4 linked regions of the Macaca fascicularis genome follow. The protein of the gene in region 4 purifies or fractionates together with the protein of the main gene of each other region. This does not show direct contact. Links are inferred from orthologs where the notes say so. Each region holds a gene or a part of one and is shown on either strand. Other genes may lie near its edges.

Region 1 (7,552 bases), on a different chromosome or scaffold from region 4:
AGAAGCTCAACCTGCAGGAGCAGCAGGGCGTGCAGAGAGGAGGCTGGTGCAGGCATGCAGGCAAGAGGTGATTGAGACTCAGGCCAGGGTTTAGCAGGGCACAGTGGAAGGATCGAGGGTGTACTTCAGAGACAGATATGCCAGAGATGCTGTATGACAGCAGGGGTATACATGGGGGTAGGGGCCAGATGAGGGAAGAGAGGAATCGAGGACAGCTCCTAGATTTTGGGAAAATGGAGGATCCATGCTTGAGATGGGGAGGCGGGAGAGGAGCAGGTTGGACAGGGGCTGGGTAGTGGGAGCAAGAGCTCAGTGTGTGGGCCGCGCTAAGTTTGCAACATCTATTAGTCATCCAGTGGCGATGCCAAGTAATGATGTGTCTGTGGGGCTGCCAGCTGGGCGGAGATGGGGCTCCACTCCACTTTGCACTCCTAGCATCCTGGTCAGGAGCAGTCTAGGCACAGGACAAAGGTTTGTAGAGAGAAGAAATGCCTGACACTGACCTGCAAAGGCAATCGACCTTCCCAGGACCAACAGAGGACAGCACCATCCCCAAAACCAGTCTTCCCCAGGCCTGGGGCTCACACCAACCTCTTCTGAACCTGGGGCTTCCTGAAGTCACTTTTTCTGGGCCCAGGAATCAACGAAGGGAGACCAGCCCCCCTCAAAAGACCCCAGCTTCAGGCCTGGCAGGGGGTGTGGATTGGGCTGTGGGTGGGAGGGACTGAGTCTTTAGGTGGGAGTGGGAAGGTAAGGCCACCTCTTGGAACAGAATGGCTGGCATTTCAGAACGCACACACAGACTCTGGTCTGACAAGTTCATCAGGCAGAAGTTTTTAAATAGAGGTTATTCCCGAAAACCCTGGCTGACATGTGGCTGTGCTCACAGTCCAGAAGAGTCAGGACAGGGCAGTGGGGAGAGGAGGTTAGAGGCTTCATGTTGTGGCATCTGGCCTTGTTCCACTCCAAACCCCATGTGCTCCAACAGCTCATTCACTCATTCATTCACTCCTCAAACATTGACGCCTTTGAGTCAGGTCCTGTGGTGGGCACTGGGAGCAAGGGATGAACTAGGAGCACCAGTGACAGTGGGGGACAGTATGTACTCTTTAAATATATATAACAGCATTTCCAACATCACGATGCATTTTCCAATTGATGCAGATATGTAATGAGACTTCACTCCCCACTCTCAAAACTTGCAATGATGCATCTTGCAATGATGCATCTTGCAACTGAAGATGGAAAATAGGGCCTAGAAGGTGGTAAGTGTAGAACTGGAGATGTACATAGTTGGGGTCAGGGAGTCAGGGAAGACTGCCGGGAGGAGGTGAGTCTTAGCGGATAAGTAGGAGTTGGCCAGGGAGAAAGGTACACAGAAGGGCTTCCAGGCCCAGGAAACAGCAGAGGCACAGAAGTGAGAATGGGTGGGTGAGTTGGTGGGGGAGCTCCAGGTGCAGAGGATGGTAGCAAAACAAACGGGAGCATCCAAGGTCCAAGTCCTCCAAGATCTTGACTTGCAGATTAAGGAGTTTGTTCACCTAACCTGCTTTGGGCAGAGTGGGGTGAGTCCTAGAGACCCCTCTAGGTCTCTCACTCTCAGTAGCCCCAGAAGGCCTGGAGAGCTGCTTCTTGGTGCCAAGCAGGCAGTGACTCCATCAGATCTAGACCTGGGAAAGGCATCTCTGGTCAGGGCCTGCATCAGGGCAGTGGCTGGCCATAGGACCCTGAGAAGTAGACAGATTCAAGGAGATTCTCAGGAGGCCAGACAGGAGACTATAGTGACAAATTAGAGAAGGGGAGAAAATGAAGGAGCAGTTAGGGAAAAGAAACCTGGGGCTCACCACTCACTGAGAGGAGAACCTCACTAGCTCTGATATGCTCTGGTTCCAGGTTCTGTTGGGACTGATCCAAGAAGGTAGCCTAGAAGTGCACAGAGATGGGAGCCTTGCTTTGCAAAAGGATCCTGGTTGCTGGCCCACAACATGGTAATGAGATTTGAGCTCTATGTGCCCAGGGCTGGGAGGAGGGTCCTATCACTTCAAAAGCAAAGAGAGGGTCTAGAGAGGGGCATGTTGAGATAGGACTGCTGCCTTGAGACACCTGGCTTTCCTCACTCTGGGTGGGCTCTCGGGTGGGTTTCCCCTACCAGGCAGCACTGAAACCTCTGTGCCATCCCAGGCTGGGAGAGGTTTCACCCTACATGTGGAACCATCCTGAAGGAGCGTCTAGATGGGATGGGGTACACGGAAGGGAGCTGCCAAGAGTGCTGGCCAGGGACCTGGGTCTACGAGCCTGTTAGGGGGTGGGGTTGGGTGCAGGGTACTTGATCCAGAGTGGGCCTGCAGGGGCCAGGATTGGTTCTAGAGTAGGAGGGGTGGGATCGGGGATGGGGGAAGGCTGTAATTGGACTGTAGTTGTCAGATCCCAGGTTCTGGGTGACCTACTAAGGATTCTGGGTCCAATGTGGGTCCCAGGTTAGATGTCCTAGTCCTGAGTCTGTGTCCACAGTTTTGGGTGTTGAGCCTAGGACAGTGGTCTGGAGTTGATAGTCCAATCTAGGTCTAAGCCCTGACCCCAAGTCTAGGATGCAGGGTCATGGTAGTGGCCTAGGGTCAGAGTCAAGGTTGGGGTCAGTAACCAGGATGAGATCGAGGTCATGGTCCAAAATCTGGATCTGGGGAACTGTTAGGGGTCTGGGGTGAGTGTCACAGTCTGGGTATGGCGTTGGAGACCCAGGGCTGTGATCTGAGGTCATGGTTAGAGTCTGAGGTGGTGGGCAAAGGTTTGAGTCTGGGGTCCTGTTTGGAGTCTGGTGTCAGGTCGTGGACTGCGTCAAAGGTCAGGGAGTCTGGGGTTATAGCCAGGGTCTGAGATGAAAGCCCCGGGATGGTGTTCAGAGGTCTGAATCTGTGTCTTGGTGAGCGTCCAGGTTCCTTGTGATCATGTCTGTTGGCAGGACCACGGCCTGACTGGAGAGCCTGGGATTCAGAGATGTGACCCGAGGTTGTGGTCAAGGAATGGGTCTGGGATCGTCTTCCGTGCCGGGTCCCTGTCTTGTTCCAGGCCCGGGTCTCCGTCCAGACCCCAGGTCACCGCCAGGATCTGAGCCCTCTGTCGCAGGTCTCCGCGCGGCCTCCAGGGGGCACCATCGCCCGCCCGGCTCGGCCACTTGCGGGCTCGCTGGCGCTGTGCGCGGCAGGCGGGGCCGGAGGCGGCGGCGGCTCCGGGGCGCGGGCGCGCGGGCGGCGGCGGCGGCGGCGGCGGCGGCGCCCCGACTGCAGTCCCGGCGGGAGCGGAGCGCGAGCCGGGGCCGGGCCCGAGCCGGCGCCATGGGGCGGCGCCGCCTGTGAGCGGCGGCGAGCGGAGCCGCGGGCGCCGAGCGGGGCCAGGCGGGAGGCGTCGGCGCCCCAGGCCGACCGAGCCGCGGCCGGACCGGGCCGAGCGCCGAGCGAGCGGGAGCGGCGGCGGCGGCGGCGGCGGCGGCGGGAGGAGGCAGCGCCGCCGCCAAGATGGCGGACCTGGAGGCGGTGCTGGCCGACGTGAGCTACCTGATGGCCATGGAGAAGAGCAAGGCCACGCCGGCCGCGCGCGCCAGCAAGAAGATCCTGCTGCCCGAGCCCAGGTGAGGAGAAGTCGCCCGCGGCCCCGGCCCGACCCCGCGGGCACCCCGGCCGCGACTCCGAGACCCTGGCCCCACACTCGACCCCGCGACTTGGACCCCCGGGGCCGGCTCTCGCGACCCTCTGTCGGCCCCCGAGCCCGGAGCAGCCCGGCCGTGGCGCCTGCGGGTCCAGACGCTAAGCCCCAGACCCCGGGCGCCTGAGCCCGGAGCGCCCCAACTCCGGAGCTCCTCTGCCCCTTCGGCCCCCGGGCCCGCTCCGGTCCCGCCGGCCGCCCTGCTGCTTCCTTATCGCGTTCCGCCGGCCCCCCGCTCCAGTCGCTGTCAGCCCCTAGCTCCCGCCTTCTCCCACAGGGGCCCGGCGCGCCCCTTCATCCTCCTCCGAGCAGCCCTTGGTCCCTGTGGGGTCCCTTCCCCTCCGCCGGCCACCATTTACCTCGCCTGACGATGTCACCCACCCTTTTGCTGTCCCTGCTCACGGCACCCGCCTTGGGGTTCCCACTACCCCCACCCGTCTCCCCTCCAATCTACACTTGTGTGAGGTGTGGGGGGACAGCCAGTTTTCCGGACTCTTCTCCCACCCTCTGGTGGAGTCGCTATCCTGTAGTTGGGCTTGAGAGTGCTTTCGGGGCGGCGTGGTGAGCAGGACCTAGGGTGCTGCGGACGCCCTCCCCCTCAGACCGCGCTCAGGTGGGGGAAACATCCCGTGCCCTCTCCCCCACATTCCTTCTCGGGCGTGCACTGCATATGGTGCCCGGTGGGTGCTGTTGACCAGGGGCCCTCCCAGCACACTGGCAACAGCTGGACCTTAGCTGCCGCCCCTGTAAGACAACTGACATCACACCTGGTATCAAAGTTTAGACTGTTCAGGATGTAGGTGCAAAAGTACACAGGATGTGGACGATTGCTGCGGTTTGTCCAGCTCTTTATGGCTGATGGAGTATCTCTCCACTGTGTGAGCCTCTCAGCAGCGAATGGGGTGGCCAGGACAGGTGTGGTTTTGTCCCTGTGGAACAGGTGGAGAAACTGAAGCTCCAGAGGTGAGTGGCCTGCCCCAAGTCACACAGGTAGTCTCAGGTGGCACCTGGCCAACAGATCAGGGCTTCAGACTTCCGGTTCTACATTTCATTGGCTGCCCTGGCTTGCGCCAGGGAGCAGATGTGCCCGCCACGGTCCTTTGTGTCGTGTGGCAACTCCTCGTGCATGCCTGAGAGTTAGCCTCCTGGTGCCCCAGCAGGCTGGGAATGGGGCCTGTCCACACTGCCGTGGTCTTATCTTGTGACTGTGGGCAAGTCCCTTCCCTCACTGGGCCTCAGTCTTCTCGTCTGTGAAATGTGGATGGCGTGAAATAAGAGTTGTGACTCTGTGATGTCCCTCAGCCTTTGAAGTGTCTGTCTAAGCCTGGGCTGACGCTGCAGGGGTGCCATGCCCATGGCCCTCACCGGCCCCCTCTGCCATGCCCTGCTCACTGGGTGTTTGGATTGACTGAACGTCAGGCCGGGGAGAGGAAAATTGGTCTGCATTCGGAAAAGGCCGTTAGGGCCTTTTTTTTCTAAGATATTTGCAATCAGATTTCTCAAAACAGGAACCAGACTGACTGTCAGCTGGGGGCTGTCCAGGGAGCAGTGACGGTTAGTGCAGAAATGAGTTCAGAAATGACAAACCCACGAGGGAGGAAATGGGGGAGTCAGCCTCTAGGGCTCAAAACGGCTCTCCTTGGTGGCCGCAGCTTTGAGACCCTCCTGCAGGATGGAGTTCGGCAATGTGTGAGGTGGGACCTTTTCTGGAACTGTCTGCGTTCGTGTACTTTTCCCCCCAGAATGCATTGCTTCTGATGGGGTGCCGCCTTGGCTCTGCAGGTGTCAGAACCCGGAGAAACGAGATGTTCTTCTTTTCCTGTCCCCTTTCCCATCCACAGCAGTGATGGCGATGATAGCAATAATGATAGGAGTTATTACTGACTTACCTGTTTTGACATCTGTCCTCTCAATTCTTCAACCAACCTGTGAAGCTGGCAAGGCCATGCCTTGCATGTAGTAGTTGCCCAAGAAATACCAGGACTGTGTGACGCCCCAGGCAGTCCTGAGCAGAAACAAGGTTGGATAGGATTCTAGGAGGACAGCAGGAGGCGGAGCCAGGCAGCCCAGGTTTTCACATTGGGTCACCATCAGCAGCATGGCCTTCCGCAAATTGCCCACATCTGTGAAATGGACTGGAGGTGCGAGCGCCGAATGTCAGTGTGCTAAGGCCTGGGAAGGGCTATGGGCCACCCCTACATGGGGGTCCAGGCCTGGGGCATTAGGGAGCAAGCCACCCTTTGCATAATGCCTTGCCTTGCACACCCAGTGGGGCAGAGCGCACCCCCTGCCGCCCCGATGGTGATCCTGACCACGTCTCATGTTTGCCCGACACTTTTCCGTTTGCAGAGTGCTTTTTACTCCATTTTGTCCTTTTGACAACTGTGGGAGGCAGGCCCAGCAGATGGGATTCTCCCCTTTAGCAGTTGAAGTCATTGAGGCTCAGGGAGGGGAGGAGTCGTGTTCTCGTCACAGAAGAAAGCTGGAATGGGGCCTCAGGTTTCTGGACCACACAGGCCAGTGCTGTTTCTCTGCTGTGCTTTATCCCCTCCACCCACCCCTGCACACCACTGTTCTCACCCCTGTCCACATTTTGCGGCGTGGGCTGACTGGCACCGCTTGTCTGGGGCCATTGGCTGTCACAGTTCACAAGGCTCAGCCCCCTTCCTGTTGGCTGGGATGGAGAATTGAGCTGCCCTGGCAAAGCTGCTGCCCCGAGGGGCAGCTCCACTCCAGGGTCCCATCAGATGCAGGAGCCTGTCTTCCCCATACCCCCAAGGTCAAGGTCAGAGTCAGGGAGAGGGGCTGTGGCTTGTCCCCGTGACAGGGTGCCTCTGGGAATTGTTCACACCTTGAGGTGGCCCACCTTGGCAGTCCCTCCATGGCTGGTGCCTGGGGATGTGGCTTGGCCGAGAGCTGGGGCTGGCATCACAGCTCTGAGTTCCAATGGCTAGGGAATGGGAGTGGTTAGGCACAGTGCCACATTGAGTTGGTACAGGGGCCTCCCCTTCTGTCACCCTATAGAATCCGAGGAAACAGTCCCTTTCCCCGACCTTCTTCTAGAAGGAGGCAGCGTAAGGCAGCATTGTGTATCTGGAGGATGGGAGACCTGGCTTCTCCCTCTACCACCAGCCCACATGGGACCCAGGCCAGTCCCTTAGCCTGACTGGGCCTGCCTCGGTTTCCACCTTGGTAAATTTAGGGGGCTGCCCCTTCACTCTCAGGGTCTGTGGTCTGGACCTTGCCCTGAAGGAACTGCCGTCTCCCTTTCCCGGCAGCCAGCAGTCTTGTAATTTTCATCATTTGCTTGATATGACCACTGAGGCCTGGTGTAATTAATCTCTGGGCTCCTAGCTGAGGAGCCCTGCCTGGGCGCTCCCAGGAGGTTCCTCTGCCCTCCCCAGTGACAGTGGCAGCCCCAGCAGCAGATTGTCAGAGCCGGGTGCCTCTTGCAGCCTCCCGATTTCTTGGCTGTTTCCTGGTCCCTCCCCACCGAGAGTTTCCTCCTTCCTGCCCCTTTCTGGCTTCCCTGTCTCCCCAGACCCTGCCCCTGTTCCTCCGCTGCCTCGTTCCTGTTAACTCTTTGCAGCCAGAACTTCCTGCCCTTGATTTGTGGGGGAAGGAGTGCAGCGGGAAGCTTTTTCCCTCCCTCCTTCCTCCACTGCTGCGGCACCAGCTGCAACCCTGCTGCTTCCAGCCTTTGTCCCTTACCCAGAACTTTCCACTTCAGTGGCAGCATTCTCCTGACTCCTTTCCCTGAAAACAAGATGAGCTTTCTTGCAGTCTCTCCCTCTGGGCCTTTGAAGCCCCACCGTTCCCCAGGAATGGGTCTCTGGGATGTGTTTCTCATCTG
Region 2 (7,508 bases), on a different chromosome or scaffold from region 4:
AAAGGTCTAATATCCAAAATCGACAAGGAACTCAAACAAATCAGCAAAACTAAATAAATAAATAAATAATAAAAATAAACAAATAGGCTGGGTATGGTGGCTCATGCCTGTAATCCCAGCACTTTGGGAGACCGAGATGGGTGGATCACCTGAGGTCAGGAGTTTGAGACCAGCCTGGCCAACATGGTGAAACCCTGTCTCTACTAACAACACAAAAATTAGCCAGATGTGGTGGCGGGCGCTTGTGATCCCAGCTACTCAGGAGGCTGAGGCAGGAGAATCGCTGGAACTGGGGAGGTGGAGGTTGCAGTGAGCCAAGATCACACCACTGCACTCCAGCTTGGGCAACAGAGTGAGACTCAGTCTCAAAATATAATAATAATAATAATAATCCCATCAAAAAGTGGGCTAAGACATGAATAGACAGTTCTCAAAGAACATATACAAATGGCCAAGAAACATATGAAAAAATGCTCAACATCACTAAGCATCAGAAATGCAAATCAAAACCACAAGGAGATATCACCTCACTCCTGCAGAAATGGCCACAATTAAAAAACTAAAAAATATTAGATGTTGGCATGAATGTGGTGAAAAGGAAACAATTCTACACTGCAGGTGGAAATGTAAACTAGTACAACCACTATGGAAAACCTTAAGTATGAAGATTCCTTAAAGAAGTAAAAGTAGAACTACCATTTGATCCAGCAATCCTACTACTGAGCATCTACCCAGAGGAAAAGAAGTCATTATATGAAAAAGACACTTGCACACACATATTTATAGCAGCACAATTTGTAATTGCAAAGTTATGGACCCAGCCTAAATGCCCATCAGCCAACAAGTGGATAAAGGAAAGGTAATATATATATACATACACACACATACACACACACACACACACACACACACACACACACACACACCATGGAATACTACTCAGCCATAAGAAGGAACAAAATAATGGCATTCGTAACAAGCTGGATGGAGGTGGAGACCATTATTCTAAGGGAAGTAACTCAGGAATGGAAAACCAAACAACATATGTTATCACTTATAAGGGGAGCTAAGCTATGAGGATGCAAAAGCCTAAGAATGATATGATGGACTCTGGGGACTCAGGGGGAAGGGTGGGAGTGGGGTGAGGGATAAAAGACTCTACATTGGGTACAGTGTACACTGCTCAAGTGATGGATGCACCAAAATCTCAGAAATCACCACTAAGTAACTTATCCATGTAACCAAACACCACCTACCTGTTCCCCCCAAACTATTGAAATAATATTTTTACAAAAGGTCACACTAATCCTAAGAGTTAGGTGCCACTATTATTCCCATTTTGTAGGTCGGGAGACTGAGGCCTAGAGTCATAGTTAAGTAACATGCCCAAGGTCACAAAGCTGCTAGTAAGAGAGAACTGAGATTTGAACCCAAGAAGTTTAGCACTAGAGTCAATGCTTAAACCACAACTATTTGTCCACAGATAATATGACTAAAGCTAATCTATTAATATAGAGTACTACTTCTGTCCCAAGGCCCTATGTTAAGGACTGTACATAAATTATCTCATAGATCTTATGAGGTTGGAGCTCTTGGCCCTAAATTATTACACAGTATCTTATTTGATTCTTTTTTTTTTTTTTTTTTTGAGACAGGGTCTCTTTCTGTCACTCAGACTAGAGTGCAGTGGTGAGATCACAGCTCACTGCAACCTCCGCCTCTCGGGTTCAAGCGATCATCCCACCTCAGCCTCCCGAGTAGCTGGGACTACAGGCACACGCCACCATGCCTGGCTAATTTTTGTATTTTTTGTAGAGTCACCATTTCACCATACTGTCCAGGCTGGTCTCGAACTCCTGGGCTATAGCAATCCTTCTGCCTTGGCCTAGGATTAAAGGCATGAGCCACCATGCCCAGCCTTATTTGATTCTTAAAGCAATCCCATGAGTTGGCTATTAGCATATCCATTTTACAGATAAAAATAATGAAGCACAGTGAAGTTAAGCAACTTGATGCACATGTGGAAGTATCAACTCCCTTTCAGCAACACTTCCTATACACACTGTAGGGATCCATATAATATAAAATAATGCAACAAAATTTACTACACAATTTCTACCTCAGAGCCAAGTTCTCTCAGCTTTTCAAGGCCTCTGTTCTAAAGTGTTAATGGGAAGGAGTAACAATGGCCTTTCCTCTTTTCTCAACTTGGGAGGATTACAGTGACCCTCTCCAACAGTCAGTGGCCTGCTTTTGGTTCCCCCTTAGTAGGGGAACACACCCACACAAGCTCTGTCACTGGAAGCCTGTTTACAGGGCTTGGATGCTGTATATAAAAGACATCATTGTTTGAGTTTTGATTTTGTTTTGTTTTGCTTGGAACTGGTTTCTGGAAAAGACAGACTAGCAATCCATTACTGGGGACCACCAGTCTGCTACCTCTGTTTAACTCAGTGGCCAATGACAGTGAAAATAAACCAAGTACTTTTACTACCAATCTTGATTAGCAGAGCAAAAAAAACAATAACAACAGGGAAGGCACCCGGGGTAGGCTTACTTCCACTTGGAGGGTTGCACATCCTTTCAGAAAGTCATTGATGTTGTTGATGCAGTCAGCTTCAGTTTGGGGATCTAGACAAAACTAGAGGAACACAGTGAAATGTCACTTGGAGATTGTCATCCCATGCCAAGCAAAGTATATTCATCATTTGCTGATAACTAGAGAAAGCAGGCTTCTTAAGGTATGGGGCAACACTGCTGTCAATCCAGGAAGAGAAATAACCACTGAAGGAAGTGATGCAAAAATCTAAACGGTCGATCTTTGTTTCAAATGTCACCAAACCTTTAGTGGCAAGTCATGTCTACTTACAAGCTTTCTCTCATGCCTTCTATTCCAGTGTGCTGATGGCAAATTAGGGAGACCAAGACAGTTTTTTTAGCTTAGTTCTTGCTTTCAAGAAAGGAAGCAATCCCTGGTACCTCTCTCTTTCCTCGCTTCCCCCTGATAATTTAATAAAATTATATTTCCCCTTGGCTGTTCTCTACATTTGATCCCATTTCTTTACATTTTATCACTATGTAATCACTCTTTCTCAAGTTTAAGAAACTATAAGTAAATTTATTTGCTCAATAAAAATACAAACTGGTCCATGCAGGCAAAAGTGATATACTCACAGTCCATGATGACCTTAAGAAAGTAAATGTAAAATTGTACCTTTAAGCTACTTAAAGTGCCTACTTAAGAAATTATCTATTCTTGTGATCATGGGTTTCCAGCTATTAAAAATCTTGAATTGTTTTAAAGAGAGTAAAGTTAGTTTCACTTTGAACGCACATTGCATTCGAAACATATATCTGGTTTCTATTGCTTTTACAAACTTTATGTGACATTTTGAATTATTACTCTTAGTTGCTATATAGTCTCTCCTTCAATGGATTTTTGTAAAACGAAATCTACACTGATTTTAGTCAAACTGCCAAAAAACACCACCAAGATCTGTTATAAATCATTCTATTTTTCCACAGACTCATAAGTACCCCAAGTTCAAAACATGTCCTCGGTACACAAGGAGATGTAACATGCATCTCCACGATAGAGCAAGCTTGTGATATGAGTGTTCTCCTTGTCCCCTATTGCCAGTAGTGTCACAGGTTTTCCCTATACTACAATTTGGGGGCCAATTACTAAAGAACAACATTTCATTTTCTTACATTTTCAAACTACAAAAACAGTAAGAAAAAATGTCTAACTCTTAGAAAAATATTAAAGTAGGAGACTCCCACGGCCTGGGAAATAGAAAAATCTCAAGAGTTATATGATTGCTACTCTCTGGTGATAAGCAATCCCAAAGAGACTACAAATTTCCCTTACCTTTTCCACAGAGCCGGGCATGAGTCTGTTGATCAGTTTGCACAGAACTACCCCATTTTTCAGCGAGGACTTTAAAAACTCCTCCGGATCACAGATGGTCTTTTTAGGGGAATCTAAAACTCCCAAAGATATAAGCCATGTCACGATTTGTTCTTCTGGATTCATTACTGAGGACAGTACACTCCAAACAGCACTCTGGGGCAGCTGCAAGGACTAAGCCACATCCGCGATTGCATCTGCTGTTGTCTTCCTTTTTATGAGTTCTCTTCGGGTGCTTGTAGAGCAAAGGTTTAAAGCAACTTTTCTCAAACAACAGCGGAACCCACTCAAAATACAGGATTTTAAAACCACAGAGATCACGGTCCAAGACGTGGAAACAGATAAGAATTAACCTAACAATCCTGGATAACACTGGTTTTTCCTTTTCAAAACCTGTAAAACAAACTCATTAGGATAAAAAAAGAAGAAGAAAAACACATGCACACACGCATACACACACACACGCACACAGAGTGCGAGAAGTTATAAGGGAAGAAAGTGAGAAGGATGCTGGGGAGGGAGGAGAGACAAGCAAGCAAGTGCTTTGGGAAACAGAGGTGAGCCAGCACTTCAGGGGACCTTGGAAATGAGACACTCATGGGCCAGTCTGGGAAAACACTGTCAATAAATAGTCTAGCCCCAGTGAAAATCTGGCTTCTGTTAGGAGGACGATGCCAACTGGCTCTTAGGTCAGACAGATCTGAGCCTCATGGGGAGATACGCTGGCACAACAGGGCTCAAAGAAGGTAGGCAGAAAATTCTTCCAAGAAATAACCGGATGTCCTCATACTATCTCCCAGAGATGGTGTGTCACGATGATTCCTTGCAAAACACGTTGAGTTGCATGGTGACAACGTGCCAAGCAAACGAAGATTGTGCCTGCTGCCAGCCATCACTGTGTATAAGCAGAAGCTAGAAGAATGGCATTTTACTTTGCAGCCAAAAAGCTATGTTTAGGGAAATAGGCTAAGGATAACATCTGACATCCTGTTTACTTGCATTCTTTAGCAATTCTTTTTCTGGACCTGGTTCCACTACATAATCCAGCTGCAGTACCCTAAGCAAAGGCTCAGACTCAGTCACATAAGTGGGTAAAATACATTTGAAAAAATAGAATGTTTGAGAACAAAAGAGCACTTGTCCTCTATCTACACTACAATGTGGAAGATTCATATTTCCCCAACAAAAAAACACTTTGCACTCAAAATACTGCTCTGAAAAAAAAAAAAAAAAAAAAAAAAAAAAAAGTCTATAACAAGAGATCTTCATCATTCTCAAACATTTTCAGAACCACTTGAAATAGGCATACTATTGGGAAATGTATGATAAGGCCAACTTTAATAGTATAACTCTATGTTGGCAAATGTGTGGCACTTACCATCATCACCTCTCCTCAAGCATGGGAGACATCAGATCATTTATAGCTCTTTCCTGCTAAGCCTCAGAATTCTTTTCAACACAGCTTCAGGCATCTACTACCAAAGAATCAGCTTAGATAACCCTACTAAACATTTTCAAAGCTGCCCTTTCTTGCTCTGTCAGGACACTTGTCACACTTCACTATTATCACTTGTTGATATGATGATCTGACTCCTCCACCAGAATGTAAGCTTCCTAAACTCGGGGTCTTGTTTGTTTTATTTAACACTGTGTTACCAGCAGACTGCCAGGTATACATGGTAGATGTTAAAAAATGTTGAGGCCGGGCGCGGTGGCTCAAGCCTGTAATCCCAGCACTTTGGGAGGCCGAGACAGGCGGATCACGAGGTCAGGAGATCGAGACCATCCTGGCTGACACGGTGAAACCCCGTCTCTACTAAAAAAAATACAAAAAGTTAGCCGGGCGAGGTGGCGGGCGCCTGTAGTCCCAGCTACTCGGGAGGCTGAGGCAGGAGAATGGCGTAAACCCGGGAGGCGGAGCTTGTAGTGAGCTGAGATCCGGCCAGTGCACTCCAGCCTGGGCGACAGAGCGAGACTCCGTCTCAAAAAAAAAAAAAATGTTGAATGAATGAATGAATAAATGAATGAATGTATTCAGATGGCGTCCCTGATATAGACAGTAGCTGATTATAGCAAGGATTTTTTGTTTGTTGGTTAGTTTAAATGACTTAAAACAAATATTTTTTCTCGTTAATGATTTTTACCATTTTATTAAGCTGTAACTGACACATAAGGAACTGCATATATATGATTTAATGAATTTTGACATATACATACATCTTTGATACAATCACACAAATGCAATCCAGATAAACCTTTCCATCACCCCCAAAATCTTCCTTGTGCCCTTTCAATTCTTTCTTTCCCCTTTGCCTCCAAATCCCAGGCAACCACCAATCTATTTTCAGTGTCTATAGATTAGTTTGCATTTTCAAGAATCTTATATAAATGGAAGTACACAGTATGGTACTATCTTTTTCCTGGCTTCTTTAACTCAACATCATCATTTTCAGACTCATTCATATTATTGTGTCTGTCCATAGTTCTATAACAAGGTTTGTTTGATGTACTTGTGACTTAAGCAAAATAAGTATAGTTAATCAAAAGTTCTCATTGATGTTGACCCATGGCCAAATCTATGTAATGGAAATAAAAACATAATCCATTTGTTGATAAATAAAATTCCCAAATCTGACGAACTTAAACACATTTTTATATGTCATTTGAACAGTTTTCACAATTGCTCATCAAAATTTTACTCTACAGACAAACAAAATCTGGCAGTATTATTGAGGTATCACTTACATCTTCTGATGAAGAACAAAGCCTGAGTAAATTTTGTGAACCCAGCCTCCTCCAAAACAGGCTTGAGTTCACCAAGGTCATCTGGATAAAACTCGGCCTCGTTTTGGACACTCACTACAGCAAATATTACTATGAGTCATAAAGTATATCAGAATGGCAAGGCCACTGCCTCAAGGCAAAAGAACCAGTTCTATTTGTATAAAGATTGGAAGTTACAGTTGGTGTGCTAAAATGTCAACAAATCTAGGAATTCCAGGGCAGTGGCAAGCATATAGGTGAAATGGGTACCCATGAAACCCAGGCTGGTTAGGGACTCAAATGAAGATAGGAAGGAGCTGAAGAACTGAGGGAATGTGGGGAGAGGGGGAATCCAAAGACTGGGGTCACAGCAACACAAAGAGCAGGCTTCACACAAGAGCATGAGAAAAAAAAAGCAAAGATCTCTCACCCTACCTCAGAACCTCGGTACCACACCGTCTGGGCCACTGAACCTGCCTCTTCAAGGGCTTTCCCACTTCCATCTTCTCATCCTAATGAACTCTCTAACAAGGCACATTTGGGTTGATTTTCCAAAAACACCTCTAGTGTTAATACCCCTGTTCAAAAACCCTCAAAGGCTCTCTATTGCCTAAAGCAGTGATTGACAGAAAACAATGTTCATATGATCATCTCCTGTGAGGCGTAGAACGTAAGCTAAAATAGGTAACATTTCATGAAAAATCAAAAGATCTTCAGGAAATAAGGCAAATGTGAACATTTATTAAGACTGAATGCTGGGTACACTGGTACCTGTTTTACTATTTAGTTTCATGTGTTTAAAATGTTACTAACCGATTCTCTTTCATTTCAAATC
Region 3 (7,585 bases), on a different chromosome or scaffold from region 4:
GGTAACATATAGTTCCCAGGGATTGGAATGTAAACATTCCATTGGATGAGCCAATGGAACACTGGATGAGCCATTATTCTGCCTACTGCAGAGATCACGAAAAGACAATCCAGATCAGAGTCAATTTACTGGGTTAGGATCCTGGGTTAAGTTACTTAACCCCTCTGTGCCTCAGTTCACTCATCAATAAGATGGGTGAGGATAACAACAGTATCTACCTTAGAGGGTAGAGGTTTAAAGACAGTGTTTGTAAAGTGCTCAGAACAGTACTTGGCACATAGTAAGCACAATATGAACATTTATTAAATACATTTCTTTTGAGATGGAGTTTCGCTCTTGTCTCCCAGGCTGGAGTGTGGTGGTACAATCTCAGCTCACTACAACCACCGCCTCCTTGGTTTAAGTGATTCTCCTGCCTCAGCCTCCTGAGTAGCTGGGATTACAGGTGCCTGCCACTATGCTCGGCTAATTTTTGTATTTTAGTAGAGATGGGGTTTCTCCCTATTGGCTAGGCTGGTCTCAGACTCCTGACCTCAGGTGATCCGGTTGCCTTGGGCTCCCAAGTGCTGGGATTACAGGTGTGACCTACCACGCCTGCCTTATTAAATATATTTTAACAACGTATTGATTCTTAGTATATGTCAAGCACTGTTTTAGATGCTGAGGATACGGAAAGGCATATGACTTGCTGTCAAGGAACTCAAGAAATCAGATACACAAATGCAGTTACTGCCACAAAAGGCATAGAAATACTATAGGATTACAGTCTTGTTAAGGCTTAGGGAAACTTTAGAAATATTAGTCGAATGAATACGAATATGAATGACATTTGAGCTCAGCTTTGTACAATGAATAGGTGTTGGCCAGTCAGATAAGTAGGGAAGAGCTCACAGACATGAAGAAATGGGTATTCAAATAACGTTAATATTTCAGTGTGCCTGGAGCAAAAAATAAATGGTGTGAGGCAAAGCTAGAAAGGCTAGTGTAGGCAGTCAGGTAGTAAAGTGCCAAGTTCAGGATTTTGAACTTTATCCTGAAAGCAATAAAATCCTTTCGGTGTTTAAACGGGAGGATGTCATCAGATTTGTGCTTTTATAAGGCTGCTCAGGTAACCAGTGGGAAAAACAGATTGAATTTGAAGGGACTAAAGGTTGCTCCAGTTGTTCAGGTGGTGGTACTAGAAGATGACGCAGGCAAGGACTTGAAAAATATTTAGGAGAAGCTACAAGACTTGGTGTCCAACTTGATATGGATGTTGAGAGAGGAAGAATGAGGATCTATTAGTACGTCTAGGTTCCTGGCTTAGGGGATTGCTGAATGGTGGCTCATTCATTGAGAACGGAAAGGAACATAAGCAATTTTGGGGGGGAAATTTCAAAATAAGAATTTTTTTGGGGGGGAGCCAACATTCTAAAGGGCTTGTTACTATTACTATGGTAAAACTGAGGCTTAGGAAGACCTAGTTAAGGTACTACTTATTATTACAGAGAAATGACGGCTTAGAAATGTTAAGGTCCTATCACTAATATTTGAACAGCTAGGATTTCAAGCAAGGCAATCTGATCCCGGACTCTCAGCCTTTCTAATGCTGTCTCAGTTTCGCACATATTGAATCTGAGGTACGACGAGTATGCAGGTAATGCTGCTCGGAAGGTATTGGGAAATACACAATCTGAGCTCAGGAGAAAGCTTTGGATCGAAAGTATCCTCCACGGTAAGAGAAAAAACGTGAAAGGAAGCCCATTCTTTTCCTAAGTGATTCTCCCACCTTAGGTGTGTGCTGCCATGCCTGGCTAATGTTTTGTATTTGGGTTTTATTTTTCTGTAGAGATGGGGTTTTGTCATGTTACCTTGGCTGGTCTCAAACTCCTAGGCTCAAGCGATCTGCCCACTTTGGCCTCCCAAAGTGCTGGGATTACAGGCATGAGCCAAGGCACCTGGTCTGGCCTCTTTTTATTAATCTTTCTTAAATGTATGTATAAGTCACATTGATGTCAATGTTTGATATTAGAGGTGTTTTGGTCTTTAGAAGTTTGGTGATGTCTTGTGACCAGAAATATGCCACAGGAACTTAACTCTTGTTTATATCAATTCACAATCCTATATCAGTTCACAGTAGTTCAAACTTCTCCGTTATAATTTCTTTGTCTTCCTCCCATCCCCGTCCCCTCTCCCACCTCCCACACAAAGAAAACATAATACACGTCTGGCTCTGCGATCACACAACGTCGGATAGTTTTCAACTTCAGCCCTTGACAACGAGTTTATAGATGCGGTGGTGCTTCGTTAACCTGAAGAGGATCCTCAGCCACGGAAGTTAGCCGTCTTTCTCCATCCTGGCTACACCATTAGCCCTCCCAGAAATAGTCCCAAAATTGTCTGGTAGAAATGCTGCACGGAAACTGCCGGCCAAGGACAGCGGACCGAGAAGAGTGACGCGACGCGATGACGTCACGCAGCAGCCGGGTGATTCCCCAGCCTCTGGCGTCACGCGCCGATGACGCAATCCCAGGCGTTCGCCCTTCTGCAGGCCAGGGTTTGGCCTCGCTCCTACGGGTCGGTCAGGCGCTCCCCGCCCCCTCCCACCTGCGGGAGGCGGGGCGGGCACGGCTCCGCCGGAGCCACCGCCGCGCGGGGGAGGGGGAAAGGCCGGGGGGGAGGGAAGGGGGAAAGGGCGGGGGTAAGGGGGAAGAAGGAGGAGGAGGGGAGCCAGTGAACTAGGCGGTCAGGCCCGCCTAGCGGCGTACAATAGCGCAGTTGTAGGCGGGGGAGGCGGCCCTGCCGCGGCTGCAGCCGGAGCCGAAGGTGGCGGCTGCACAGTAGACGCCCCCTCACGGCTTCCCCCACACGCTCCCGCCCCCTCGTTCGCCTATTGCGCCTCCCTCGCAGGCTCCGCCGTCCTCCTCCATAGACGCTTTCCCCCTCGGACTCTTATTCCCTTTTTCACGGAGCCCCGCGCTCTCGTGAGCCCCCTCGAAGAACCTGGTCTCCGCATCCAGTTCCCATCTCCTGCCTCAGAGGCCATCCGAGCTCTTCGCACCTCGCCCCTCAGCCCCCCACCGTTGCCCCCGCCCCGCGTCGTCTCGCTCCCTGCCGCCCCCCCATCATCCCTTCCCTCGCAGTTCCCCTGTCCTGAGGGGATCCCCGGCACTGGCGGCGCGGCGGCGGCAGGAGGGAGAAAGTGAAGCGGTAGCTCGCACACACTCGCGCCCTCACTCCCGGCTCGGCGGCACCCACCATCGGGAGGAGGAGGAGGAGCCGAGAGGAGCTGAGCGAGCGCGGAAGGTGAGAGCGGGCCTCCCGCCCGGTACCCCTCGCGTCCCGGGCTGCCAGGGTTGGGGCGCGGGGGTGGGGACGGGTGGAGTAGGGGTCTGGGCCCATTTATCTCGCGTGGCGGGGCCGGGCGCTTGGGCCGGCGGAGGCGCCAGGTAAGGTGAGGCGGGCGTCGCCCAGCGAGGCCCGCTCCCGTCGGGCCAACAAAGGCCCCCCGTGCGCTCACCGGCGGGGTCGCGGGTCTCAGACGCCGGGCGATCGAGAGACCCGGGAGAGGGAAGGGGCGGGGCGGGGCCAGGCCAGGCTGGGGCCGGGAGCCCCCACGGGTACCGGTCCGGGACCGAGTCCCTTCCGAACTTTGCAGTCCTGCAGAGCTCACCCTGTCCCACTACGAGGAGGCACAGCAAAGCGGCGCCCCAGTTCCTTCTGCATGGAATAAATGATCCCTTCTAGGCTTGGACAGTCACCTTTAGGGTTTTACTCCCTGAAAAATAAGGGCTGGTAGGACTTGACTTACGCAGCCCCTCCCCCACCGCGGAATATTCTGTAACTTGGGAAGTGAAAAACAACCGGGAAAGGAGATTTATAGTTATTTTATGTTCATTAATCCATTTGAAAAGACATGATTGTTGTAGTCTTCGCTATCCTATTTCAACAATACACATTACTGGGAATGTTTTGGAAGAATACTTGAGAAGTAGTGGGTTGTGAGCAACGTCCTTGGTTTTTAAACCCCTTGGATAATTGTTCTACTCTTACAAAAACTGAACAGTGAAGGGAAGGGTTAGTTCTGTGGTTACTAATAAAAATTCAATTCGTTAGTCTTGACTTTAAGAATTGTTCTTGAGAAAAATCTTTAATTTTGCCTCCTACATTTGTGGGTTCTCTTTCAACTCTGTCAGGAGAAAGTAGGAATTATCAGTACAGATACCTCATCTCTTACCTTGTGGCTTCATCTACTTCTTGTGTGACCTTGAGCAGGTCACTTCCAGCCTTAAAAGCTCCAGAAGTTTGGTTTTATGCCCCAAAACGGGCAGGTAGCAAGCACCAACTCAGCTTTCAAGAGTCCACTGAAGAATTCCCACACTGTGAAATCTTTGCTGGCCTCCATCCTGTCCCTCCTCTCAGACAGAACTGACTTTTTCCCATTGGCCCGGTGAGATTTCTACCACAGCACTTATAACATTTTGGTTCCTATTTGGAAAATTCTAAATCACGTGGGTAGAACCCCCACCCCCCCCCCAACTAGCAACTATGCCTTTCAAAAAGGGTTTTGGGAACATTGACGCTGAAAACTTCCCATACTTTCCCTGAAGTTTATCCATACGCTTAACTACATGAACTCATGTGTCTGCCTTGGTGAATTTGCTAATTCAGTCAATTCATTTATCCAACATTACTGGAGTTTGGAGAGCTACTATGTTTCAGGCCTCTTGCTAAGGCTATGGGGATTCAGTCTATTAAGATATTCCCGGTCTTCAAAGAGCTCAAAGTCTAATGGGTGAGGTAGACAAGTAAACAATGAAGGTCTGCCCTAATCTCTGGGGGACTCCAGTTGTACAGGTAGTAGTGTGCAATAATTGAGGCTGCTGGACCTGTTTTACAAGTCTTCTCTTGGCCAAAGTGAGTCCTGCAGGGAAGGTGACCTGCCTCATCCATAAGAGGGCATTTGGTAAAAAGCTTGTTCAGTTCAATTCAATATACATTTACTAAGCGCATGTTTTGAGTCCCAGTGCTAGGTTTGAAGGAAGCAGTGCCTCAAAGGAAGGTACTGTGCATCCAGAAAGATTTCCGTGAAACAAAACCTTACCACATCAATGCCCCCTACCCCTGACTCTTCATATTCTGAAGATAAATTTCAGACTAACATGGAATAAGAAACTCTCAGGCATCAGACCACTGCCTGCCTTTGCAGCCTCACTTTCTGTGGCTCCCCTGCCACTCTCATCTTCGCTTTTGCATGTTCTGTTTTCTTCCTGGATGCTTCCCTTCCACCCTTTACCTGCCTGTGGAGGTGTCCTTGTTGGGCCTTTGCGATGCAGTCCCTTAGTCTCTCCTTTTCCTGCGTAGAATGAGTTGCTCTTCCATCCTCTGGCTCATACACATACCACTCTTATGGTCTTCTATAGCACTCTATTGTAATTACTTGAGTTTGTGCCTTTTTTCGGTAGCCTGTGAATTTCTTTAATAAGCCCTTTAAATGATTCTGATGCTTGCTAAAGTTTGAGAACCACAGGGTTAAAAGATCTGCTCTTGATAAAAACAAGCACCCTGCCAGCTCCCGCTGTCCCGTTTTTCTTCCATAGCACTCACTGCTTGACATCATCCCATCCCATCCCATCCCATCCCACCCCACCCCACTCTTGCCAATAGAATGAAAGCTTCCTGAGACTGGGAAGTTTTGTCAGTTTGGTCATTGCTTTAATCCTAGTGCCTAGAATAGTGACTGCATATAGCAGGCGCTCAAGTATTTGTTGAATGACTAATATAAGATGATTTAATCCTATGTATTGCTAGCTGCTACATTGGGGTTTTACTAAAGAACAGTTCTCAGAATGAATAGGAATCATGGTCCAATATGCGAATCCAAGGGGATCCTCACATTTTTGGGGGATTCATTTTAGGTTGAGCTTTTCCCTTCTGCATCTATGTGTCTCCAGCCAAAGCCTGCAAGAATTTTAGCCCAGTCTTTTGTTTGTTTTAACCACCACCTGAAAACTGCTGTTGCAATATCCCAAGCCAGGATTGTTTCCTGGGAATTTGCAACTTGGTTTTGCAAGTCTAAATGAGCACTCTTAACTTTTGAGTCTTTTAACTTAAAACTGTCTCTTCCTGGTCTCCTGTGGTTTTTGTCTTTCTCTAGTGCTCTATAGGGTCTGTTTGACTCCACACAAAGGTTTCCCTTCCTTGTGAAGCTCTTAAAATGCTTTGTTTCTTTCACTTTCTTATTAGCCCTAAGATACCATGCCCAGTTTTCTCCTTTCCTAGCTTCCTTCTGCGAGAGTGACTTCATTTATTCATCCATTTACTATAAAATTATGAGTCCTCCTCTACCATGTGCCAGACCCTGTGCTGGGCAGGATGTTCAGCTATATACAAGAGTGCAGCCCAAGTCTTTAAGGAGCTAGAGATAGTATGACATGATAAGTGCTGAAATGAAGAGATGAAATACAGGGGTGAAAAAAGGTGGTATATGATCATAAAGGTGGGAGAAAGCTGCCTTTCTATTTGTTTCCCTCAATTTAGGAATGATTTGTTAAGCATCATTTCGACAGGCAGACTTTTAAAAAATTTTAAGAGGTCATGGGCTTTGTTGGGGAAAACTAAAACAAAAATCAAGGTAGAATCAGCAGTTGCCAATTTGAGACATTAATTAATTCTGTTGTTGCTGGTTTTAATGTTTTTGTGATCCCTCTCCATGTTATTTTTCAAAATGATAACCAGAAAGTGGGAGAAAAATATTTCTTTTTGGCATAGTAAAGAGACAAGTTTAAGGTTATCAAAAGAATACATCTCACTACAGTTTATTGTATATTTTTGAAAAGCTATAAACGTAATATGCATCTAAAAACAGAGGCTTTTGACTTTATGATGAAGAAATGATAAATGTTTGAAGTGATGAATATGCTAATTATCCTGATTTGATTATTACACATATACATATCAAAATATCACTCTATCCTATAAATACATACAATTATTACATACCAACTAAAAACAAAAGGAAAAATGCATTGATTCAAAATTAATAGTCAGTATATTCAAACTTGAAGATAAAAAATTTAAAAACATTCTCCCACACCAGTATTTCCTCCTTCTGGGTCTTTTTGTATGCCAATTATTAAAAAAAACAAACAAACATATCTTCACAGATGGTGTTTTAATTTCTAAGGGGTAATGTAATTTGTAGTGGGGGAAAATGAAACCCTGGAAAAGTTAGGAGACCTTCTTTAGTGTATGTTACTGCATGACCTTGTAGAAGTAATTTTTATCTCTGTGTTTTGTCCCAACTATAAAATGGGGATAGTAATGGTTGCTACGACTAGTTTACAGGATCATGAAGCAATTAAAATAATGACTATAAAGGAATCTTTGAAAAGTATAATTTGCTTGTTAGTTGTTAGGTGGTGGTAAGCTTACTAAAAATGACTTACATTATTGAATACCTGTTCTGTACCAGGCCCTACATGAGATGTTTAACATGTTCTTTTTAACCCTCAGAATAACCTTATGAGATGATTGTTGGTATCTCTGTATCATAGGTGAGGAAGCCTGAGAGTCATACTAGTAAAGGGAGCTTATTTGAGGTTTT
Region 4 (7,634 bases):
GGTGCCTTCTTGAGCCCACCTCAAAACAAGGCAGGAATAAGGGATTCCACACCGGCCCTACTTAAAACAACAATCCAAGAAGTATTTGTGTGGGAAGTGCCAGCAAAAGCTTGCAAACTCTCTCAGGTTTCTTTGTGTGGTCTTCTCTCCTTCCTCCTCCACACCCTGCGGTGCCAGGCCCCGGCGGGAAGAGATGAGGGAGGAGCGGGCTGCCTCGCCCGTTTCTCCCGCCTGGGAGGAGCCAGCTGGCTTCTCTGGCGGCCCGGGACCGCTGCCCGCCTGCACCACCAGGGGTCAGCAGAGTGTCGTGGCTGCAACTGGTGTAGGGGAGGGGGGCTGTCGCGGGGGAGGGGCATCTAGGAGTGGCCGGGAGCAAGCCAGTGCGTTTCCTTATTAAATTGTCTTTCGAACCTTGTATGTGATTCCACTGTAGCAGTCCTGCTTCCTGGGGTGGTGACATCTCCATGGGGGAATCCAGAAACCCTTTTATCTCCAGTCCCAGGCCCAGAAGTTTGGCTGTGACGGGGCTGGGGGAAACAAAGTTTGGACGGTGTGTCCGCGCCGGGGCCACTCCCAGGTAGCCTCCGAGCCAACCAGGAGATGGGGAGTGGGGCTGCGGGGGGTTGGTAAGCAGAGTGAGTCATCCTTCTTCCCCAGCAAAGCCCAGGAGTCCGAGGGCAGGGGGAGTTGTGGGGAGCTGTCGATTGTGGGGAGCTGTCCCCTGGGCGGCCGGGTTCTTTCTTTGCCAGGCGGCGGTAGACACTGAACCCAGGTCGCTTGCGCTTCGCCTGCGCGCTCAGCTGCCACGTGCTCGAGACGCGCCCACACAGCGGAGAAACAAAGACAGCCAAGCGGCAGGGCTGCCAGCAGCCTCCTCGACATTTAATAAATGAAATTCCATGGCTGGGGGTCCACCGGGGGTGAACGGGAGGCCACCGCTCGTCGACTGAGCGCCCGGCACCGGCTGCCTGGCCACTCCTTCCGTCTCACTCCCCCCGCCCCTTACCCCCTTCCCACTGGGGCCACCAAAGCCCATGGATTCTTTGGTGAGAGAGCAGCTCGGGGCGGCAGGTAGTACTCCTCCCTACATAGCAGCTAGGTATCGTTGCTTGCAAAAGCCCCACCAGCTGAGCGGCTGGCTGTCTGGGGAGGGGAGGCCTGAAAGATTTTTTTAAGGTGCAATTATAAATAAAGCCCATGGATCGCGATTTCAAACAAACTTGTCAATCCGGGCCGCAGCAAAAGGCGATGGAGGCAGCTTTGCATGTATTTCGGGTGGTGTGACTCATGAGAATTACTTGTCTCCCCTAGGGAAGGAGCCTGCCCACCCACAAGTCACTGCCGCTCTGGCACCGCTGGGATAAATCGACCAACTTGAGCACCCCTGCCAAAGGACTGCCCCCATCTGTTACCGAGCAGGAGTCTCTGACTTCGATAACCCCTCCTCAATTGTCACCACTGACCTGGCCCCCAGGTCTGGCCCTGGGGACCTCTGCCCTCTCCCCACAAGCAGAGTGCCCGGGCCTTTTGCTGCTGCAGGGATTGGGGGTTGGGTGCACGCGCGGCACACGTGTATGGGGGAGCATGCTCAGTGCGGGGGCTGTGCTCATGTGAGGCCTCCAACTAGGCTCCCTGCCCCCCAGCCCACCCACGTCCCTCACCTGCCTTGCCTTTGCCTGCCTCTTCGTGTGAAGTCCAGGAAGAAAGGCTGTCACCTGAAACGGCCCCTCTGTGTTATATGCACCCTTTCTGGACGCACACACCTCTGGTGGCCCAGAAACACCGTGTGTATAAGGCGGATGACAAGTGGATTTGAGTGCACACAGGCACAGTGGTCACTCCTTGGGAGGTCTTTAAAAACCGCCCAGATTCCTCTCTGGATGGAAGCATGCATGGAGAGATAGATATATTTTTAGTCCAGAGGCAGGGGAATACACTGCCTGACCTTTCTAGCACCTGGGCGTCCATATTGTTGGCAATGAGCGTATTCAGCAAGAGTGTGACACACGCACACACACCTGGACACACAGATGTGGACACCTACAGGACCGGGAGGCACACCTCACCCCAACCAGAGATAGAAGGGTACCCCAAGGCACAGCCCCTTTGACCTGGAGCGGGACTTGGGCCTCCAAGTCCTTCCTGCCTAATCCCCGCCCTCGCCATCCCTCGGCCCAGCGTCCCCCAGGCCACCCCACGCGGAAAGTGAAGGGGAGGGGGCTGTGAGGGTGACTCACATTGCCTCCGGGCCAGGCGAGCGCCGCAGCGGAGGCCAGGACCGCAGGCCCCGCTGCCCGCCGGGGCCGGGCATTAGCCGCGGCCCCTTTAAGCGCCCCCGCCCCCTCCCGCCCGCGCCCGGGCTTCCTTTCTCCAGGGGGCGCGGCCGGGAGCGCGCGGCGGGGCGGGGGTGCGGCCCCTCCCCTGGTGGGCAGGGCCTGCGCCGCTTCCTGCAGGAGCGGCCCGGAGCCGCGCAGGGGGCGGAGAGAGGAGTCGCGAGCGGCGGCGGGGCGGCGTGGGGCGGAGGGCGCCCGAGGGCGAGCGGGCAGGCGGGCACGGCGGGTTCCGGGCCAGCCCCGGGGCGGACGGTTGGCCGGGCGCGCGGAGCCTCGCCGGGGCCTCGCCGGAGCCGGGCCGGGCAGCAGGGGCCGCCGCCGCCGCCCGGGCCCGCCGCCCGCGCCCCCCACGCTGGCCCAGAGGGCTGCGGCCGCGTCGCCGCTGAGGATGTCCCGAAAGGGGCCGCGAGCGGAGGTGTGTGCGGACTGCAGCGCCCCGGGTAAGCGCGGCGGGGCCGGGGGCGGGACCGCACAGCCAGGCCGCCGCCGGGCGGGCGCCGGGGCCTGGCGAGAGCGCCGTGCGGGGCCGGAGGGCTGGGCTGGGCTGGGCTGGGCGGGGCGGGGGGCTGCGGCCTCCGGGCTCGGCCCCCGCCCCGGCCACTGCGGAGCCGCGTCCTTGGCGGGAGGGCTGTCCTGGGGGGCCCATGCTCCCTGGAGGCCGTGGACGAGCGAAGAAGGACGTTCCCGGCGCTGCCTCCCGCCCCTCGGTCTGAGGGAGGCGGGCAGCTGGCTGCCCCTCCACCTCCATCTCTATCCGACGGAAGCGCCAGCCTGGGGTGGCAGGAGGGCAGTGGCGGAGGCCGGCAGGGCTTGGGAGGTGGGGGCGAGTGTGGTTTTGTGTCATCTCAGTGCCACCCCCGCGTCTTGCACCTGCTGCTCGCGTGGTCGGCACGCCTGCCGGGGTGGTGGAGGGCAAGGAGCAGAGGGCCGGGCAGATGCGCCAGCGGGGCCTGGATACCGTCTCCTCAGGAGCAGATGAGCAGTGGCTACTCCCAGGACTCCCTGCCGCGGGTTCCTAAGGCTAGCGCTTTTTTGCGGGGCCTGGCGTTCAGGGCCAGTTCAGACCCGGGTGTCTTATCGGGAGGCATCACCAGGCCTGCTGGTGGTGACTGGGAACAGCTCGGCTGGACCCTGCTGTTCCTATTCACCGTAAGGCCCGCTTGGGAAAGTGAGCTTGGCATCAAGCTATCCTGGGCCCCGGCCCCTCCCTGTCCCCTAGCCCAGTCTGGCGAGAAATGGGTGGGAGGCACTGCCTAGATTCCCCGCATCCTGCTGGCTTCCTAGCCTGCCTCCTGGCTGTATTTACATGGTGGTTCTCTTCTTTTTCCTAACAGAGTCAGGACTGGGCTGGAGTGAAACCCCCCAGGCCTGCTGAGGAAGTCAGGGGTAATGATCCAAGAGTCTGCTCCCTTCTGATGGGGGAGGACAGCCAGTGACTGGGCTCTGCAGCTGGCCTGGGAGGGAAGCTCTAGCCCCCATCCATTCTTTCTTTAGAAAAGGAGCTATCTCCCTAGTAGGCCCCTGGGCAGGCTTCGGAGGTCTGTGAACTCTAGCGGGGCTGTGGGCATTATTAAGAGTGAGATTATGGGGTGCTGGTTTGTGGGTCCATAACTTTCAGCCACCCCTTGAGCAAGCCCAGGACCCCACAGGTTGAGCCTCACAGATGCTCTGGTGGTTCTGGGGGTGGTGCCAAGCTAGACTGTTTGGGAACTGTGACCCAGCAGGGCTTGGGCACAAGATACTCTCCTCCTTGGGGCTTTTGGTTTAGAGGGCCCTGGGGTTGAGGGTCCATACCCCTAAGAAACTATGACTCCCTTCCCCCAGCTGCAGGCAGGTCTGGGGATGGCAGGGCTGAGGACACACCTTGCCTTATAAATGTCTGCCCACTGTTCCGCACCTCCATGGGGTGAGCATGGCATGCATGTGGAGGAGAGGCTTAGCAGGCACCCTATCGGGGAAGCCTGGGGCATAGTGTTGCCTTTGTTCCCAGCTTACTCTGTAACCCCAAAAAGACTTTCCTCACTGTGGGGGCCTCAGTTTCCTTAATTAGGAGGCAAAGAAATTGGAGTAGAAATGGTTTCTGGGGGGGCTGTGATCTGATTCTGGGGTGGAGGGGTGAAGGGCAGCACCAGCAAGGCAGCAAGGCAGTTGTCCTTTCTCTGTTGCATTGAATGTCATCCAAAGCCTCTGGATGCCCAGTGGGCTCAGGGAGGAATGGTGGGCATCAGATGTGTTGGATTGCCCAGCTCCTACTCCCAGGTCCTCATCCGTCAGAGGAATTTGTGCCCCAGATGACTCTTTTCCCCTGATACACAATAGAGGTCAGGAAGGTGGTGAGAAGGTGAGGATGGTAGGGTGGGGAGGATATGGACAGTCTTACACATCAGCCCACCTAGCACCAGCGAAGTGTCCAGCACATGGCAGGCGCTCCCTGAGTGTCTGGCTTCTTGTCGGGACCCTGGCTGGCTGCTTGGGACTATCCCACACCTGGACCCTAGGATGCTGGCCCTGGCATGCAGCGACGTGTTTGGTCTGGGTCCTGTGGCATCTCAGGCAGAGAGGCATGAGGGTACCCAGCAGTCTGGAGTCCAGATCCAGTGCCAGCCCCATGGTGTATCGCTCCACCCCAGGGTCACAGCCTTCTTTTATTGTGATAGGAGCCCTGCAGTCCCAGCCACAGGAGTGGGGCCAGGGACTTTTTGTGCTTGGTTAATTTGGGGAGTCATGGAGGTCAGAGGTGAGATGCAGCCTGCTCCCAGAGAGCCCCATCCTCCCTCTGCTCCCGGGCCTGGGCACACGGGACAAGTGCGAGTGTGTTGGTAGGCAACTGGACATGGTGTGGCTGCTCTGGCAGCTTGTGCCACCTTGTCAGGCACCGTGTGCATTCCTGCCTGCCTGGGGAGTCCAAGAGAGGAAGGGGGCAGGGAGCCCTGGAGAATGTGCATTTTCCCCTTTCCTTTGCCTTGGCCCACCTTGCCACATGGTCTCAGTCAAGGGCCTCTCCTCACCCCATGGGCTTCTATCTCAGCCTTTTCCACTTTGGCAGCCCTGGGGGTGAGAGTGAAGGCCTCAAGATGCCTGTCCTTTAGGCATCTCTGGTGAGCAAGGCTGGGGACATGTTACAGGACAAGCTGCAGGCTGATTTGTCTCTTCATAGTGTAGATTGCAGAGTGGTACAAATGTTGGGCTCCTCTTCCTGCCTTATTGAGGTAGAACTTGTATGTGTCTGTGCCCGCACCTGAGTGTTCACACTGATGGGCTTTTACATGTGTGTATACCTGTGTAACTACTACTCCGATCATGTTATAGAATAGGGGTATCCAATCTTTTTGCTTCCCTGGGCCAAACTGGAAGAAGAATTTTCTTGGGCCACACCTAAAATGCGCTAACACTAATGATAGCTGATGAGCTAAAACAAGCAAAAAATAAAAATAAAATAAAATTGCACAAAAGTCTCATAATGTTTTGAGAAAATTTATGAATTTGTGTTGGGTCACATTCAAAGCTGCCTTGGGCCGCATATGGCCTGCAGGTTGGACAAGCTTGTTATAGAACATTTCCATCACCTTAGGGAGCTTTCAAGTGCCCCCTCTCAGTCTGTGCAGTCAGAGGTAACCACCATTCTGACTACCCCAAGGACTACTCTTGCTTGCCGTCATGATGTGGGCTTTTCCCTTAGTCTAGTGGGGATCTGGCCCTTAGCTCAGGGGAGGGAGGCCTGAAGCTGGCCTGTATGTGCAAACCTACTGGCCCTGGAGGCCACTGATGGCTTCAGGTGGTGGCAGGAATTCACCATAGTAGAGGCCTCCCTGGGGTTGGCACTGGTTAACGTGATCCCAGGATCACACCTGCTACCTCGCCAGACATACAGACCCGTACCCTGCTGGTGGAGCCAGAAGCCCAGGGGGAGGGCTGACAAGTTCCCTTATAGTTCCTGTCCTTTCCGTCCCAGGTTTGGTCCAAGGAGCCTCTTGAGGCAAGGATCCCTTCACCTTAAACTACAATCTGGGTAGACCCAAGGGCACTTGCACAGAGAGAGGAGAGAGAATGGTTAGGGTGGGCATCGCATCTGTGTCATCCAGAAATGAGATGACACCAGTGTCAGCTGCCCAGACCAGGACAGTGTCCTTTGCCTACCATTCCTCTCAGGTCACCTGGAGGAGAGGCAGAACCCCTCCCCCAGGCTGGGGGAAAGTGCGAGGCAAACCCTTGGACCACGTTCCTGCACCCTGGTCTTGGTTGCTGCCATATCCAGGGTCACTCACCACATCTGGTCTGCCCATGGCTTGGGGCTCTGGAGCGCCTGGCTGTGGATATCTAGTCAACCTTCCCCGCCTGGCTTCTCCGGTAGGACCGTAGACCTCGGGTCAGTCCATTTATGATCCTGCCCTGGGCGGCTCCCCACTTACAGGAAACCCCACCAAGAGGAATTTGGGCTGCATCATTTCCGGCTTCCTGCCTGGGCTGCCGGAGGTGACTGGCTGGCAGCCCCCTGACCCAGTGGTGTTTGGAGTGGGGAGAGGGAGCTCTCCACGCCTGGGGTGCCTCACTATTTGGGTAAAGCCAGCACAGAGGTGCATGCTAGGACTCCCCCTCTTGGTGAAGAAGGCTCATCCCTTCCTCCTGAGCCCTGGAGTCAGCCCCCTAGGAAGGTGTTGGCAGTCACCTTGGGCATCCCTCTGTTGCCCTGATTGGGAGGGGTTCCCTTAAAAAGCCTAAACCCAAAGACAGACCTCCCTCCTTTACTTCCTGTTTCCATGCCTCAGCGGGGGCCACTTGCTGTGGGCAGAGCCTAGGCTGGACCCCTGACTCAGAGTCTCCTCAATTTTCCTGGGAACTTTGGTGGAAGTCCTTAGAGGGGAAGGGCCTGAGAATTGCCTTCTAGTTGGGGGAGATTCTTATCCCCCTAAGGCTGTCCCTCCCCTGGTGGGGGCATTTCTGAACACCCTGAGCGGTACAGGGCAAGGCAGAGAGCCAGTCCTCCACCCCCACCCCAGGACAGGGTTTCCTGAGACAGGGCGGGGGCCGCTGGGCAGAGCAAAGTGTCCTGGGAGAGAGGCGCCCTGCCCCCACTCTCAGGCGGCACACAATGCCTGCTTTCTCCCCCGTGACCTTTCTGCAGCCTGAGTCGTATGCAGCTGTCTCCTCCCCATCTCCCAAGGGGCCTAGGATGGGTGGCATCTCCTCTGCCCGTGAGAAGGACCCCGAAATTTCCACCCAGTCCTGGCCCCACTTCTTCTTTCCAAAGTTCACTTTTCCCTAAAGAGTGGAGAGCAGGCTATAGAGGCAGAAGGATAGCAG

The links.
Region 1: the proteins of GIT1 (region 4) and GRK2 purify together in Homo sapiens (affinity purification with western blotting; 4 studies listed by BioGRID and IntAct, with this or other methods). This does not show direct contact. The link is inferred for Macaca fascicularis from reciprocal best matches to the Homo sapiens genes GIT1 and GRK2.
Region 2: the proteins of GIT1 (region 4) and ARHGEF6 purify together in Homo sapiens (affinity purification with mass spectrometry; 3 studies listed by BioGRID and IntAct, counting the BioPlex papers as one, with this or other methods). This does not show direct contact. The link is inferred for Macaca fascicularis from reciprocal best matches to the Homo sapiens genes GIT1 and ARHGEF6.
Region 3: the proteins of GIT1 (region 4) and PAK1 purify together in Homo sapiens (affinity purification with mass spectrometry; 6 studies listed by BioGRID and IntAct, with this or other methods). This does not show direct contact. The link is inferred for Macaca fascicularis from reciprocal best matches to the Homo sapiens genes GIT1 and PAK1.

The regions. Positions count from the first base shown.
Region 1 is NC_088388.1:7,106,936-7,114,487, reverse strand, and holds the start of GRK2 (beta-adrenergic receptor kinase 1), read left to right. Parts: upstream 1-3,282; 5' UTR 3,283-3,512; coding exon 3,513-3,625; intron 3,626-7,552. UniProt on the Homo sapiens protein: Specifically phosphorylates the agonist-occupied form of the beta-adrenergic and closely related receptors, probably inducing a desensitization of them. Key regulator of LPAR1 signaling.
Region 2 is NC_088395.1:142,924,796-142,932,303, forward strand, and holds the start of ARHGEF6 (rho guanine nucleotide exchange factor 6), read right to left. Parts: upstream 4,510-7,508; 5' UTR 4,037-4,509; coding exon 3,872-4,036; intron 2,642-3,871; coding exon 2,558-2,641; intron 1-2,557. UniProt on the Homo sapiens protein: Acts as a RAC1 guanine nucleotide exchange factor (GEF).
Region 3 is NC_088388.1:76,355,610-76,363,194, reverse strand, and holds the start of PAK1 (serine/threonine-protein kinase PAK 1), read left to right. Parts: upstream 1-2,499; 5' UTR 2,500-3,285; intron 3,286-4,216; exon of another isoform or gene 4,217-4,423; intron 4,424-7,585. UniProt on the Homo sapiens protein: Protein kinase involved in intracellular signaling pathways downstream of integrins and receptor-type kinases that plays an important role in cytoskeleton dynamics, in cell adhesion, migration, proliferation, apoptosis, mitosis, and in vesicle-mediated transport processes.
Region 4 is NC_088390.1:35,091,151-35,098,784, reverse strand, and holds the start of GIT1 (ARF GTPase-activating protein GIT1), read left to right. Parts: upstream 1-2,472; 5' UTR 2,473-2,721; coding exon 2,722-2,773; intron 2,774-7,634. UniProt on the Homo sapiens protein: GTPase-activating protein for ADP ribosylation factor family members, including ARF1.